Linked DNA regions of Saccharomyces cerevisiae S288C. Changing the gene in region 3 together with the main gene of any one other region gives a genetic interaction. Each region holds a gene or a part of one and is shown on either strand. Other genes may lie near its edges.

Region 1 (8,350 bases), on a different chromosome or scaffold from region 3:
AATACATGGAACGTGTCACTATTCGGTACCCAACCCAGTAACCCAGACTTCGGAGATAATGGGATTGCTGGATATTGCTGGATATCTAGATGCCTTCTAAAGCACTCAGCGTCATTTTGCAAAAGCGTGTTAACTAGTCCGAATAATTGCATGACCAAGCTATCCTGTCTAATGTCTTCATGTCCTTTCAACACATACTTATAATCTTTACCATCACTACCCTTGATACAAAACTTTCTCGGTCTTTGTTTGGATGAGATTACTGAAAATACTGGCTCGAATTTAGATATTTTAACAATTGGTTTTCCACCACTTGCACGGGTCCCGGGGACAGCCAATTCCAAATCATGCGCAGATAGTAGTTTTGGCGACACATGTTGTAGTTCAAGAGTTTGTAATTGTGGCAACTGTTTACCAATTTTCCTGAAAACATTATAGTAAATGTCCCACGCTTGGTTTAAATTACTAACATCTTTAGATTTTTTGTAATTCATCAGCCATTCGTAAGCGTCATTCAAGTCCCTACCAAAAGAATTTTGGAACGATATTTCCCTCAAAGTTTCCGGTCCTCTCTTCAGCATTTCGTACAGAGGCTCTAAAGCAGCAAACATTTTTTCGGTATTATGTTCTCCAAAAAACTGCCTACTGGCGTCATCCAGACCCTCATACCATTGCTCATGCCAAAGCACCGCCATACGTATCAATTCGTGGCTGACAAGTTCAGCCTGGTCGACCAAAACTGGACTATGTATTCTCATCTTTTCTATGATGGACAAAGCTGCTTTCTGTCGTGAGAGAGATTCGGATTTAATCGCAACCATTAAGGGGTACACTAATGCCTGCGGATGAGCCTTACCTAGATCAGATAATAGGGAGAGTAATGACCTACTAACAATTTGATTGGGTTGATGAATTCTAGAAATTAACTGTGGCAACACTTCTAACCATGTGCCTATTTGGATTAGGTTGAAACCCTCGTGCATAGCTTGGGTTGCTTCTGGAATACCACCAAAAGTAAACCATAAAGTTAATAACCTTAATGCATCTTGAAGAGAGCTTGATTCTGATAAAGAAATGGAATGAAAAAAACCCTTAATTGCTGGAATTACGTGCCTGTGTATTAAATTAGAAGAGTAATGAACTTCCTTAGCATCAAATGTATTGACGCCGATCATGCCATTATCAAACTCATTAATATCAGTTACCGAGGAAGCATCACTTCCTTCCTGTTTCTTTTTAGAGACAGATGTTAGCATAGAAATGACTTCAAAATTGGCCAGTGCCCAGTTATGCCACGCTTTGTACCATGTGTTGTCAAAATGTGTAGCGAGCAAATAGGAGCCTAGGATCGAATCTGGATTGCTCAATCTCCATTTAGGCTGTAAGCAAACTCTCCATTCTCCTTGCTTCAAGAAACAACGAGCTAAAAGCTTAGTATAATCTTCAACGTGACGAGGGACTCTTTTGCTTTGTTGAGGAACGCTTTGAGCTATCATATTATTTGGATCCAAACCTAAATCATGAGCCATTCTAGATGTGAAATTAATTAATTGCTTCAAAGCCTCATCTTGCAACCCCGTAGCCCACAAGTACTTCAGTTGTGCATAAACAACTGGAGGGGATGCCTTAGCAGTATTAGGATGATCTGGGTCATCTGTTTCTTCAAGCAATGTATTTAAGACTTTTTTAGCTAGCGCCATCCTACCCGATTTTCTGCATAAGTTGGCAAACTTAATCCTCACTTGAGCATCCTCCTTTGGCTTTATCACCAATGATCTGACACGCAGAATTCTTTGCCACACATCAATATTTTTTTGACAGCCCAGTAATCTGGTATTCCAAGTTTCTCTCATAGTTAGACGTTTATCTGAATTTTGTGGCAACTTCTTATATTTGATGATTTCCTCCAACTCTGCTATAATCTGCGCTCTAACAACAACATTATATGCTCTATTGTAGCTTTCATTAACAAGAGCTGACAATTCAGTAACTAGAAGATCCCTTGCATTAAAGATGTGAACTTCCGCCTTCTTAAAATTATTCCTATGCAAACATAAAATTGCATCATAGAATTCTTTATCTGGAGACTGCGATTTCATGACGCTAGTATACTGGGCTATTTCATCCCATTGCTCCAAACCCCAGGCAGCGCCGGCAGCCAAAGGCGCCATTGCCTTCTTCACTTCGGGTTTTGCCGTGCCCCACTTTTCAGATGCCAATTTAGAAAGCTCTTCCCACTCTCCAAGGGCATATAACGATCTTAATTTTCCCATCATCACTTCAACCGAATCTTCTCCTGCTGCCTCCTTCTCATTATATGCTGCAAGAGCATCCTCCCAACGTTGAAGTTTTTCATACCAAGTTTCCTTCAGCTGCAATTCATTGTGTTGTTGCGCATGCTTCAAAATACCAATAGCAGAATCAGTTTGGTGAAGTTGATTATTAATGCTAATCAATGCCTCGATTGTTGAATTTTTCGGCTCTTCTAAGAATTCTACCTCTTTGTAATGTAGTGCCTTCGCAAAAGCATGACATTTTTGGGCATACTTACCTAATGTATGGATTGGGATAGGCAATGGTTTGTCATCGTGCTCCATAAATTCCACTAAATTTAACAACATTTGATAAATCTCGGGTGGGTTTTCAGAGGATGATAAAGCCTTGCATAATGCTTGAATCAAATCCTCTTGGTATGACGTTTGAAGCTCAACCCAGCAACTTGAGAATGAAGCATTAAACAATTCTCTCGCCAACGGATAATAAACGCTGACTAAACTCGAACAGGATCGTAGACAAGCTGAAGGTGATTCCTTTAGAAGCTGAATAGATAGCCTTCTTATCCATTCTTGCCAATCTTCTTTGGTCTTCTGTTGAGAACAATACCATGCATTCTTTAGGATATTTTGGTTTACCGGTAATTTCGTTACTTGCATTTCGTCTTCATAATTTTTCCTTTCAGGTACTTCGTTCTCCTTGTCAAATATGATATTTGTTGGCAAGCATTCATTGTTCAGTAATTTATTAACCAGTTGATCGTACACTGAATGCTGAATCCTATTCCTCAATAACGCCTTGTTAATCACTGGCACAAAGACCACAAAGTCGGTACCTAGTTGTAAAAGGAGCAAACTTAGCGTATTCATGGTTGCTTTTGTTAGTTCTCTATCCCCATTATTCAAAATTCTTACCAACGCCTGAACAATTCTTGATGACATTTCAGAGAGGTTGATATTCTTTGCTAATCTACCCAAAGTTATAATGGAGATTTTCTTTAGACTTCCAGCAGAATACTCAGTCATTCTAACAACGATAGGCATAATCAAATGGGAATAGTCTTCTAGATTCGGCCCAAAAGTAACCAAAGATTTTAATATACGAATCGGAACGATCCTTTTATTAGACTGGTCGTTCTCAAGAATATCAAGGAAAAAGGTTAGAGTCTCGGGAACAAATCTTTTAAACTCACCTTCCAGAGCCTTAGATATCGATTCTATGACAGAAATAATTGTGATTTGTAGTTTAATGATCGGGAAAAACTCCCTGATCACACCATAAATTTTCTCGACATGGGGCCTAATATGTTGCTTGACAATTGAGATGAGAGATCCCAGTTGCTGAAAATAAAAGTCAAGTTGGGACGGCGGGCATGAACGCATGACTAAAATGATACCTGGAATAATTTGATCCAAAAAGGAGACACATCGTAAACCAAGGTTTTGAAAAATATGCATAATAGCTTGAATAGCAGCCGTGTGATGGATTGACAACGATGGATCATTCAATATCTTCATCAGATTGTGGATAACTACAGTGGGGTAATATTCATCGTTGGATGGAGATACCCCTTGCATTAGCAATGCGATGTCGATTGAAGGAGCATTTTGCTCTACTGAACTCTTTGAGTTTGATGTGACTTCTATTTCTCTGTGCTTATATGGATCAAGAGCGCCTAATATACCAATCAAACGAACAGTTCCACGCCTGATATGAGGGTTGTTTTCAGTCTTAAGAATATTTATCAAAATGCCAAGTAACTCTGGGTAGTCTAGTAAAGGGCCAACAACATAACCAGAGGAAGCAGCCAGCTGTCCTAATGTTGTTAAGGCGGCATCTCTTTTAAAAGAGTTTGATTGGTCCTGAAATGTGTTAATGATCAATGGCATCAATTCCTTTAAGTAACGCGTCATTTCTTTTCCTCCAACAACAGATAGTTCACCCAAAACCTTTAAAGCGGTGGATGCTACGGCAGATGAAGCATCCTGGCATTTAGGAAGAATGACGTCTAGAATAGGATCAATATAAGGTTTCGCTACTTCATCGCTGGAATTTATCAGCGTACATAATAGAGTTGCACTTTCCTCCTTTTTTTTTGGCATATTTGAGAACTTCAATTGCGTTAATAGTTCCAGTAAAGTTTTCCTCAAAGAAGGAACTACATAAGCGGGGTTGACAGAACTCAATCTGCCTATTATTTTGATAGCTTCCAATTGAATACCAAAAATCTCATCGTTCAGCGCCATGAAAAGTAGGCGTAAATTGTCTGGTTGGGCCAATTGAGGATCAAAATTTGACCCCAAATGCTGAAGAATTTCCAATCTAATTTCTGCAACCGGATCAGTTATTGCGATCATTAATAGCTTACTTAGCACTTCAGAAACCGAGTGTAAAGCATGAACTGATGTTTGTTTACATATATCGTCTTTGATAAATAAATCACACGACGTTAATGCTGCCAATTTTCTGACAGACGAATCCTCATGCTCAATGTAAGAAATGGTTATAAGCCTAACAAACTCCGTCAAGGAATATTGATGATGAATTAGTTGCAGCATTTTAAAACACTGAATCAAAATTTGGGCATCTGTAATATCGTCATTAGATTCACCAGTTTTTTTCATGAAACTTTGGTTTCTTGATTTACGAGCCTTTTCAATGGAAAATTGATTATTAAAATCGTATTGGTTTGATTGAATAAATTTTTCACCAGATAAGGATATCGACAGTAAATTTAGTATCCTCGAATTAACGGTAGATTCCAAAGAGGGTATTTTCTCGTTAAGGATCATTAAAGTCTCCTGCATATGGTCGGACATTGGACAGTTTAACATCAAATTAAGAAGATCTTTGTTCAAGTGCTTAGCAAAAGCTGGGCCCAAAGCACAAGCTAATTTACCAATGCAATAAAATAAATCCTTCTCGAATTGTTTTCTAACTTTGAATTTCGTTCTTAAGCCTTCCCTAATATTATCCAGAATAAGTGTCATATAGGGTGAAATGCTCGAACCAACTTCAAATGCAATATCACCTATAGAAACTAATATAAAAGGTTTATCCGAATTATTTGCAGCATTCATATCGATGTTCTTCAAATATCTTAAATAATGAACCATTATCCTATCGAGATATTTCTTTGTGAAAATGGCAGGGTCAAAAGCAGCTAAAAGAGGTAAAATAGCATAAACTTCTCTCCTTATAACATCAAATTTATATTCCTTGTACTTCATAGTAGATTTGTAAATATCATCATATTTATCCCTGAGATAAGGTGCTTTCAAGCTGAGTAATTCTCGAAATACCAACAGAGTAGCATGCACTGAATCATTCGTATTGAGACTTAAGCCATGTGTACAACCTTGAAATAATCTTTGAAACCACTGTTTTCCCAAAGCAGGGTCTCTATCCTGAATAATAGTAAGACATTTACCCAATGCCACTGCGGCATCTAATCGTATAATTAACTTTGCATCCCTTAATGGCACCCAAATATTGTCTAAGATAGAGTTAACGTAAGGGTATAAAAGATAGGGTGAATTGTCTGCTAATGCCTTTATGATTAATAGCGCAGCATGTCTCCTGTATTCCAACTTAGAGCTCGATGAGTTATTATCTGCTGTCAGAGTAAGCCAATCAATGCAAGTTCTGACCTCAAATTCGACGAAATCTGATGTTAATGTACCACCTGGCACGGTCAATCTACCTAAGGTGTTAGCCGCTAATCTCATAACTTCAATGTCACTGGATGGAATTAAAACACGTAAATAGTTCGCCAGTCTTGAAGTTTGGTTTGGCAGCTCCTCTGTACTCAGGTAGAATGAGATCAGAGTATCAACAGCAAGAATACCACCTATCTTCTCACTTGAAGTAAACCCGTGAATAAGTTCAAATATCTTATTGTTTAAACTGTTGCTAAACCTTTGAAATTGCTCAGCAGATACTTCCCTTGCTAATGAGGTCAAAGTAGTGCTTAATTCATTAGCGCCAGAGGCTCGTTCTTGTGGCACATCGCTTTTAAGTTTATCAAAAATCAAATTTAAAGTAGAAAATGTTGTATCTAGTTCTGAATCTACAAAGGATATTTTACCAATATGACCAGCAGAACCAGTGATCACTCTACCAGAGTCATTGGGCCCATTGTGATTGGAATCTGTGTTTGAAGTAGTTGACATCTCATCATCGTGGGAGTGCGATTTGTGTGTAAGTTTCTTTCTTGTTCTGTGTTTGCCTTCGGCCCTTTGTCGTAAAGACAATAAGTTAGGTGGCGTGGTGTATTTGTTAATGTATTTATTCATTTTTCATATGGGGAAAGTAAAGATCAGAAATCTCTTTGAGAAAGATAACTATTTGATCTTAATGACTATGCTCTTTATGCACCCGGTATATTTTCCCTTTCTACTGCTCCTAATCTACCTGTAAATAAATACAAGTAAAGCTCAGTTAAGGAAGTGATTGGTGTCACGATGATAAAAATTGGTCTTTCCTACTGTCATTACATTTCTTCCAATTTTAATTGCTGCCATATATGTCAGTCTCTATTCAAACATATTCAGTGCTTAAAAAGGAATATCCGGGTAAATATTCTGACATCGCCCAAGAAATATACGATATAACTTAAAGAAAAGAGTTGTAGTAAGCTAATAGCATTAAGATTAAATGTATGTTTGATTAATTGCAATATCATGATGTTATAGAGTAACGTGGTATAATTACCACGATTCCGTCGAATTGTTTGCCACTTATCACTGGCGCCAAAATGCAGCAGTATGTAAAAAATGACGGTAATAAATATATAATACAAATGCATAGAGGAAAGGCTATAGAAATGAAGAGATTCATGAATTTTCAGTCAGGTTCTCCGACTTTTAATTGCTGTGCCCCTCCTCCTGCTTCTTTTTTTCCTCTTCTTCGTTCTTCTTCTTTTCTTCCTCTTCCTGCTTCTTCTTTTCTTCATCTTCATTCTTCTTGTTTTTCTCTTCCTGCTTCTTTTTTTCCTCTTCTTCGTTCTTCTTCTTTTCTTCATCTTCATTCTTCTTATTTTCTTCATCTTCATTCTTCATCTTTTCTCCTTCTTCCTGCTTCTTCTTCTCTTCTTCTTCCTTCTTCTTTTTCTCCTCTTCCTCCTGCTTCTTCTTTTCTTCTTCTTCCTTCTTTTTCTTCTCTTCTTCTTCCTTCTTTTTCTTCTCTTCCTCTTCCTTCTTTTTCTTTTCTTCTTCTTCCTTCTTCTTCTTTTCCTCTTCTTCCTTCTTCTTCTTCTCCTCTTCCTCCTTCTTCTTCTTCTCCCTCCGCTTTCTTTCTTCAAGTAACTTGGCATAAGCATAGTCCTCGTATACAATAATAGGGTCCTTATCAAACATTTGAATACCCTTTCTGTTAACGTCGGATAAAGTTGGCGCAAAAAGGTCTAAACCATATGAATTTAAATCCAAAAAGGAGTTGCTACTAAAGTTTAAATTTGATTTAAAATCCACAGGATTTACTTCAACAGTATTAGCAGGAGTATAATCTTCTGTGTTATCATCTAGAGTTGTTCCAGTTTCATCAAAAGTAATGTTGAAAAGTGAAAAATTCCTGTATTTCAAACTTTCGGACAGATCAATAATTTTTCCGACATATTCTTCATGAACAATCTTGGTAACTTGATCTAATGTAGTCTGGTTCATAGATTTTGATAAATCCTTCCACATAGCTTTTTCATAACCAAAAAGAAATGGGTCCTTTGCAGGGGAGCTTAACTTAGGAGCAACATTAATGCGCAATTGATGTAATAATTTCTTTTTTTCAATAAATGTCAGGTTTTGGCAGTATTGAATTTCCAATTCCTTTTGCCTATATGCAGTGACATTGAAGGAATTGTACAAGTTAGTAAATACCTCGATAAAGCCAGCTTTTGGAATATTTTTATAAATTAAGCGAACATCATCCATGGATAGGTTTTTGAAAGAGTATTCAGAGACTTTGTTGGAATCAAAAAGTTTCGACTCAAATTTCGTAGACGATATTTCTTTCAAGAGGTTCGGATTCCATGAATTAATACTGGGGATGTTTGGATACCATGAATTAATATTACTGCATT
Region 2 (4,865 bases), on a different chromosome or scaffold from region 3:
TGCCGAATTTTAAATTTTCGTATAATGTCTTAGCGAACTGGATCTTGCGATCGTTTTTGAAAGACGAAGTCAGGATGCTATACCAGGAATCATCATCACTGTCAAGTTCGTTGTAATTTGGTAGAAGGTAATCAGCGTCCCGCCCAAGTCCGTTACGCTGCGGTGAATTTGACCAGATAAACGTTATAATGATGATCTGCAGTAGAATCAGTGGAAGGAGAATGCGCCTTAATGGGTAGTGCTTGACACGCAGCAGGCCAGATAAGAACCGCCTGTGAAGTTTAGATGATATTCGCTGAAGCATAACTAATTAGTTTATTTGTGTGAAGGAATAGTGACGTTGTGATGCGGTGAGTTCGGCGGTTAGGGGAATGGTATATGATAAAAAACGGAAACGTGCTTCTTTAATTTAATTGTTTAATATTGTTGCAGATATATAAAAAGGGGGAAAGAACCAAAGATGTAATTATTTCTTTATTGCCTCAACCTAAAGCAAGCAATAAGGTATAGAGATCAGGACGTCTCGAGAGCTGATATCAAATTTGAAGCCACGCAAGTAACTACGTAGGTCAGAGGGCACAAGGAATAACACGTGACATTTTTCTTTTTTCTTTTTTTTTTTTTTTTTTTTTTTTGTTAGTCTTGGCTTCTGTGCCGTAGTCTGTATACGGTTTTAGATGCGGTATGTTTATCATCGCCCAGAAATTTGCGGGGTGCAAAGAAATAAAATCCGTGCTGAAACCCGTGCTGAAATCCGTGCACCGCATCAAATTTTCTCGGAGGATTCTTTGCGCCGGTTTTCATTTTCTTCCACGGAATACCAAGCCCATTGCATCGCGATGTTAGTTTAGCGGAGTTTCTTGGCATTGGCAAATCTCTGCTAAATGCTGCGTACAGACGGAAACTCACACCGCCGCGAAGACTGGTCAGTGGCAAAAAAAAAATAAAAATATAGAAAATAACTATTACGTATGTTACTGTTTCTGGTAGTTGATATGAAGTTGGAGTTGTATATTGTACGCTTTAGGAACAGGGAAGTGAATATTATTTACTCTGCTGCACATTCTGGCTAGGTCGAAGCCGGAACTTGAGAAGACGCCGCGCTAGAACTATGGACCAAGCTGTTGACAATGTTCAGATGGTGATGCACTACCCTGTGCGGGGAGTGGCCACGGACGCGAGCGGAAGGTGCGGAAGGTGCGGAAGGTGCGGGAGTTGCGGGAGGTTCTTCGCTAAGCGTGAGGGTTGCTAGCTGGGGCGGCGGGGTTTCCCTAAGTGTAAATAAGGCCTCGGCTGGCACATGAGTCGCCGGAGGAGGCGGCGGAGGCGACGACGCTAAAACCGTGGCCGTTGGGGAAGGATGGGCGGCTATATCTACCATTGACCTGATGGGGACTCGGTTCTTAAGGAATGGGTTTGAGGTGGGTGTGGTTGCAGCAACATCTGTAGCGATATGGAAACCCCGCGGATTCTCGTACGTAGTGGTTTTGATAATAGGTTTCTTACACACATATTTGTCGTTGGCATCAACACAAGTCTCAATTCCTTGGAACCATGGGTCTTCGAAGAGGTCGTCGATGGTGTAGCGGGTGGCGGCTTCTGGGTCAGCGAGCCGCCATGCCACGCGAGATGCATGTCCGTTCTTGAAATTTCTAGCCAAGTGATACTCCATTCCCGGCCCCGGGCGGTAATTGCCGCGATTGCGGAATGCGCGATCGTGAAGACGGATAAAGTTTTCATAAGCGTCACAGTAATCGCGGAAACCAGTGTCGAAGCTGCAGGATTCCAAAAATGGAATGACGTTGTTGACGAGGGTCATGAGGATAATACCCAGGCCATAACAGTCTAGAGCGCGTGGGTCATACGGCTGTTGCAATTCCGTATCGTAGTGCTTCTTGGAGTCGTAGAACATGACCTCCGGGGGAGCATACGGCGGCGAGCCGATCATCCCTGCGCACTTCTTGACAGGGCTGGACAGGTCGTGTGGATCCGTGTGGTACCAGTCTGAGATACCAAAATCTGTCAGCTTGCACACGCCGTCCGGGGATAGCAGTACATTTTCCGGTTTCAAATCACGGTGGGCGATGCCCTGATCGTGGCAAAACTTGACACCACACGCCACCTGTTTGAATATACAAAACTTTTCTGCTAGGGCCACGCTGCGCCAGCCCGATTTTTGTATCATCGCGAACAAATCTCGTAGACCTAGCTCCATGACGAACCCCCACCCGCGAGTGGTGTAGACGGTGGTGGGCACCTTGACTAGAAGGAAAGTATTTGTGATGTGAACATGATGACTTAGCTGCTTTGCGATGATAAACTCCTTTGAGCAGCGCTTGTAGAATTTCTCGGGCGTTTCATTATAGATCATATTGAGCTTCTTTAGAGCAAATACGTCCTTCTTGCGGTACTTGGAGCGGATCTTGCGCACTTCGCACGAACCGCCCCATCCGATGGTCTTATTCTCATCATCAAAGACGAAGTTATCGCTCAACTGGATGCTTGCCTCCTTCATCTCGTCGGGCAGATACTCGTTTGGGTCCACAATTGGGATCGGCAGCATGCGGATTTTGGAATCCCCATCGTGAAGGTAGAAGCCCAGATCAGGGTCTTTCTTCATGGAGGTAGAGACGGACGAGAGTGACGTGCTTGGGGTTGAGACGCCGTATGGATTGTACACTAATCGTTCGCTACTGAACTTGGAGTTTGAGAGATTACGCGAAGTGGACGAATGTCTGTTTCCTCTTGAGATGGACGTGCTGGAGCCGGCCGGAGGTAGGATCTTGGTTGAGGCGGAAGATAAAGATCTCTTGCTGTTGGTTGTGTGAGCGAAAGAGTTTGCACGGCGAGAGGTTTTCAACGAATTCGGCAGTTTTGGGCTGGAGGATTCGCTGTCATTAGTACTTGTAGAGTGGAAGTCTGGAGGTAGAGACGCCTTTTTCTTCAACTTGTTCCCATGGCTTGAACTTAACAGCTTCTTTCCGAAGAACTTAAATGCTGATACCGAGGAGATTGGTTGTTGGGATATCTTCGTAGAATGATTGTGTGAGACTGTCATTGGTTGGTGGTGCGATTTAATGCGTATGCTTGCCTGTGGCGTTAAAATGGTCTATACGTTTATGCTAATATTTCTTGATGTAATGCAGGGCCTATGAATACATGGAGGTTTGTTGCCGGTGGTATACGGTTGAAAAAAAAAAGAAATAGATATATATATATTTCTTCTTTGTATAGACTTCTGCGAGAAAAAGAAAAGATAAGGAAAAATGAAAAAAAAAGCGTATAGGTGCTAAGAAGAATTAAGTATCAAAAGGTAGCAGGCATTTATGTTATATATGCAACTTCGGATTTCGTTCAATACATCTTGACCGGTCTCCACTGTTACTGGCATATTTCTCGGGTTTTTCCTTTTCACCACAAGGGAAAAAAAATGCGTTATGTAATTTCACCAATATTTTTCCCGTCCTGCGTGCTCGCACAATACAATAGGGTCATGTCACGTAATAAGCAACGTGCGCCGCATTTTTTGCCCTTTAAAGGGAAACGCGCTTTGTTCTTTTCTTCTTCCTTTTCACATAAGGGAGAGTCGGCTACCAATGTCGATGGAATTCTCACCATTGGGCATCTCACCGTTCCTATCCTTCTGGAACCTATCGTAAATCCCCCTTAATTTGACCAACTCACTTGTTGAAATACTAGGTTTTGTCTCTTGACAGGCTTCCAATAAATCGTTTATTGTGACCACAGCTGTCAGCTCAGAAGCAGCTGAAGTGCTTGTCTTTGTCTCGTGCACCACATCTTGCTGCAATAGAGTCTTTAGCCGTAGTCTATTTTCTTCTCTACGCCCGTGCTCATTGATACTGAAGTATTCTATATTATCATTGCCGGGTACCACTTCCGATTGGTCTGCAGCAGACAGCCACCTATGTACAGATTTCAAATAAGCATTGTAGCAGAGCCCCTGTAAATCAGCACCCGAAAAACCAGCTGTCTTTTCAGCGATCAACTTCAAGTCTGCATTTTTCTCCAATGCAAATTTTTTTTGTCCCGTATCCTTGTCTTTTGAATTGACGATAGCTTGCAAGATATCTAACCTCTCTGATTCAGTCGGTATATTACAGATCACACTTTTGTCTAATCTTCCCGGTCTTAACAATGCGCTATCAATCAAATCAGGTCTACTTGTAGCTGCTAGTATATATACACCATCAAGGCCCTCGGCACCATCCATTTGGGTCAATAATTGATTGACTACACGGTCTGTGACACCAGTGGAGTCATGCCCTCTCTTTGGCGCAATAGAATCGAACTCGTCAAAAAATAGAATACAGGGTTTGACGGACTGTGCCCTTTCAAACAATTCTCTTATGTTTTGTTCGCTGGCACCTATAAACTTGTTTAAAATCTCTGGTCCCTTAACGGAGATAAAGTTTAACCCACATTGTTGTGCCACGGCGCTCGCCAGAAGCGTTTTACCACAACCAGGATAACCGTAAAGCAAGATTCCTGATCTCAATCTTAGGGGACAATTAACGAAAATAGGCTCATATTTTGTGGGCCACTCTAAGGTTTCTAGAAGGACATCTTTGGCATTTGCTAAAGCACCAATATCCCCCCATTTGATGTTCGTTTCTTTTGTTAGCTTTACTCCACGCAACGCAGATGGTGTAAACGCACTAAGCGACTTCGAAAAAAGTTCCCTTGTTACAACATTATCACAATCTCTTTCCAACTGCAAGTCGTAGAAAATCTTTTCTGTGAATATTTCCAAATCTAGTGGCGAAAATCCTTCTGTCTCCAACGACAAATCACTGAATTGCAAATCTCGATTTAGTTTCATGATCTGGTTTTTCGAGAAAAAATAC
Region 3 (4,047 bases):
GTTCATATACACACAAACAATAGTTGAAATCAAGAAGATACAATGAAAGAAAAGAGAAGGAAAATAATGTTATAAACGATTGAAGGGATCCGCTGAGGAATGAAAAAAAAAAATAAGAAAGTAAGAGAAGGGAAAAAAAAAAGAAAAAAAGAAAAAAAGAAAAAAAGAAAAAAAGAGGGAATGATCGAAGATAAAAATTCTCAGAAATTTGAGAAGAAGGAAAAACTCTACTTAAATAAAGATAAACTTTTCATGGCTTGAGAGTCCGGCATCCACGTAACTTAATGGTCCGTGCGGTAACATGGCAGGGTGTGCAGGACCCTATGGCTCGAGAAGTTGCTACCGGTGTTTAATTTTTTTTTTATCTTAATATTAGGAAGAGAAAAAGCATCAGTTACGAGACTCCTGAAGGAGCGCCGGAAAGTTTCTTTTTTTTTTTTTTTTTTTTAATTTTTTTTGTGTGGGGAAAGACCGACTACCAGTAATACTTTAAAGATATTATTAAAAGAAATCCCGAAAAAAGAAAGACCATGAGAAAACCGAGTGCGTTTCATGCATGTAACATAATATTTCTTCCCCTCGTTAAGTGTGCATCAGCAACCATAATGCTGAATTAACCGCAAAGGTTACCATAAAGGATCGCATATAAACAAAACTCGCCCTTTCTCCTGCATCCCTTACCGAAAAGGAAAGTTTATATACACTTAAAGGAAAGTGCTACTGTAGGTCGTCAGGCCGTTGATGTACTGCTCTTCGAGACAACTATTGTACCTTAACTGTAAGAATTTGCTCAAGCCCTCAAAAAACACAACGTGCGGGTAACGACAACGAAGTGGGCGCAAGACAAAGATGGAATATCCTATCCGATGGGCACTATAAAAGGCGAAGGGAAAATTAGTTTTTTTTCTTGTCAAGCATTTGCCGAGCGCTTCAATGTTGATTGGTCTAGAAGTAACAATCAAGACAGATAAAGTCTAGTACGTGTGCAGGTTAATGCGCAAGTGAGAAGTGTAGATATTGTAGTTGTGATATTTACTATTCTAACTTGGCGCTATTAACGCTTTCACAACCCAAAAACATCAAGAAAAGCCTTTCAATAAATTGCTCTTCTCTTGGCGAAAGAAAGCGGGGGGCAAAAAGAATCACGGGACTTATGTTTCGGGATCTCTTTGTTTCTTCTTTTTTTCCCGGAGAATAATTTTTTAGGACCAATTACCGTAGTTGCGACTACAACAATTGTTGTTCATACCCCCACGATTTACTTTTTGAAAACTAGTTTTTGGAATAATAATGTTGTAAAATTTCCCTTTTTCCACCCCGATTTGTATTTTATTTTTCGTTACAAAATTGGGACTAATATTAAGGGCGACAGTTTTTCTTAAAAGTAAGATTTTTTACTTAAAAATTCTTGTTCTTAACGAAATTACATACGTATTAAAATTATTTATTAGATAGTCGGTATTGTCTTTTTGTGAAAAAAAAAAATTATAATACTAATTGTTAAAAAGGCAGGTATGAGGAGGGTATAGTAGGAAAGAGAAAAGACGTTACAATTTTTAGGTTTTCGGTTTTAATAGAAATTGTTTGATTACACATAATAGGAATTGGGGGGCTGGCGGGAGGGAGGCGCATGTGCTCTATTACTTTCTTGTTTCCACAACGGATGGAACAACCACAACGACAACAACAATAGCAAAGATAATAAAGCAGATGATCAAACATCTTATTTTGTTTTTTCTTGCTTTTCTGGCACTCTTAACGGCCTTGTTGGTGTGACCCACACCTTGCTCTACATCTTGCTGAGCGTCTTCGACGTTTTTGTCAATGACATCCACATTTTCTTGTTGTTCGATGACCAACTCTTCCATGTCATTGAACAATTGGGTAAGTTCAGCCATTGTTTTTTCCAACTTCAACAACTCTTGATGTCTAGCCTGTACTTCGGCCAATGCTGTCTTGGCCTCACCACGTCTATTGGCGTTTAGCAACGCTTGGGAAAAGATCTGCTGGCCATTGACATCGTTGATGGCGGCTTCCACTTCTTCGTCAGTGGCTTCCGGTTGGATAATTGTGTACTGTCTCTTCGCCTGCTCTTTGCTTTCTTCTTTGTAGTTAGAATCGATAATTCTGTAGTCTTGAATTAATTTTAAGAATTTCTGTCTGCAATTTTCAGCTTGTGCCTGTTTATTAGAGTCGTGCAATCCGTCTCTCTGGGCATCTTTGATATCCGCTTTCAATTGATACTGCAAATCTGTGGCCTGAGAGATGTAATCGTCCAAAGAACGTCTCAATTCCATCTCCTGTTCCTCACTCACTTGAGTAAGTAGGTCTTTGTGTTGCGCATCAATTTGGTTGATAATGTTTTCGTACCTGGACAAGTTAGCATTTATTGAGTTGATCTTGTTCATAAAAGCTACGAAATCGTCGCTACCATCTGAGTGACCAGTAGGAGCATTGTTCAAGTCCTCTTGCATTTCATAGTTTTCAGCGTACGGATTGTTATTCTCATAAGGATTAGCGTTGCTCATTGCTGCAATATTTGTGCGTGTATGGGCAGTTTTCAAATGTAAAGTATTACAATTCCACACTATTCCAGCTCTCTTATGGGTATATTAAACGATTTAACCTGCCAACAGCATTTATTTGTCATTTTACTTGCTTTTTTCATCCATCCATTGAAACTAAAAACGTCAAAAAAGGCCATTTCGTAAACAACGGCCGGGTGATAAGCACGTCGTTTAGGGGGGACCCTTTGCTGCCGCTTGGTACCCGGCTCGTAAGACATAAAGATGCCACATATTTACTTTTAGCTGGCTTCTTTATTCACACAGGCTACTCATAAGAGCTTCAGTAGACGCGCATCTGTCGGTTCTTCGTCAATCTATTTCCGCACATACTATTACGTACGATGGCTATTAAACCAACCAAAAGTTTTCAGAATTGTCTAGAAGCTGAAGTGCCTGGTTATAACGACTGTCCGACAGTTTTGTTTTCTATCGACCCTAATAGCGGACCTAGATCCAAATCTAAACAAAGAACGAAATCGAAAAGATGTGTTAGCGGCAGACTTGCCACAGAAGTGTTAGATCTTTATGGGAACACTAAAACAGCTACTACGCCGCCACCAGTTTTGAGGAGGCCATCTGTAACTGCTGCTCAACAAGAATCTGCCTGTGAAGGTGTGCTCGTAAAAGACCAAGGCGATAGACAGCTCCAGCCGATATTATGCAGTAAAGAAGAATTAGTGGCTAAGATCAACGACCTCTGTGTGTGTGGCTCGAAGCTCTCTTCGAAGGAGTTGGAATTTTACAAGAAAAAATTAGATTCAAACATTACCAAGATTTTACAAAACGAGCACACCAAAACAGTACTATCCCAGATTTTCAATGAAAAAGACAAAAATATGGCCGTGAAAACCATTAAACATTGGATGGTTACTGACACAACAATCTCAAATTGGTGTCCCGCATTCTTAAAAATTTTTGAAAATGCGATGCCTAATTAATCAATAATATTATTATATTTATAAATAGAAGTACACTACGCAGAACATTTTATTTTCTAAAAAAAAAAAGAATTCCTATTGAATAATTAAAAATCAAGGTTACCCGCAGTCTGCTTGAGAAATTTAATAAAAAACATGTAATCATCTCATCGCGTCGAACAGCATATAGCAATAAGGGCTCATCACCGCCTCATGTTTCTTCTTGTCATATCAGATCAAGAAAAACAAAAGGTTGGAAAATGAATGAGGATAAAGAGCAAAAGATCAACATACACGATATATTGAATACAAGACCGAAGCTCACCAAAAAGACAGCCCTAGATGTTTTCTTCGAAGATCTGGATGACAATGTAATTACTCCCATAAACGAATATGTTCTTGATTCAGGCTCATCATCATCCTCTTCCATTTATCAGGCGTTGAAGTGCTCAAATAACAATGAGTTTGTTGCAGTACTTTTACAGAAATTCCAGAATTTGCACATTCACGTACTAGAACAGCAACGGAGGCTCATCGAAAGTAAAAGTGACTTATTGCCTATC

What was found. A genetic interaction does not mean that the proteins touch.
Region 1: mutations in SSO2 (region 3) and TOR2 together harm fitness more than expected from each alone (negative genetic interaction), as found in Saccharomyces cerevisiae (2 studies listed by BioGRID).
Region 2: mutations in SSO2 (region 3) and PTK1 together harm fitness more than expected from each alone (negative genetic interaction), as found in Saccharomyces cerevisiae (2 studies listed by BioGRID).

The regions. Positions count from the first base shown.
Region 1 is NC_001143.9:56,791-65,140, forward strand, and holds the start of TOR2 (phosphatidylinositol kinase-related protein kinase TOR2), read right to left. Parts: upstream 6,570-8,350; coding exon 1-6,569. Other genes in the region: MNN4 (Mnn4p), read right to left, coding at 7,140-8,350. UniProt on the Saccharomyces cerevisiae protein: Phosphatidylinositol 3-kinase homolog, component of both TORC1 and TORC2. TORC1 regulates multiple cellular processes to control cell growth in response to environmental signals. Nutrient limitation and environmental stress signals cause inactivation of TORC1.
Region 2 is NC_001143.9:67,163-72,027, forward strand, and holds PTK1 (putative serine/threonine protein kinase PTK1), read right to left. Parts: upstream 3,059-4,865; coding exon 1,070-3,058; downstream 1-1,069. Other genes in the region: MNN4 (Mnn4p), read right to left, coding at 1-304; PEX1 (AAA family ATPase peroxin 1), read right to left, coding at 3,572-4,865. UniProt on the Saccharomyces cerevisiae protein: Essential determinant for low-affinity spermidine transport.
Region 3 is NC_001145.3:625,281-629,327, forward strand, and holds SSO2 (syntaxin), read right to left. Parts: upstream 2,529-4,047; coding exon 1,641-2,528; downstream 1-1,640. Other genes in the region: MIN3 (Min3p), read left to right, coding at 531-617; ADD37 (Add37p), read left to right, coding at 2,909-3,505; RTP1 (Rtp1p), read left to right, coding at 3,745-4,047. UniProt on the Saccharomyces cerevisiae protein: Required for vesicle fusion with the plasma membrane.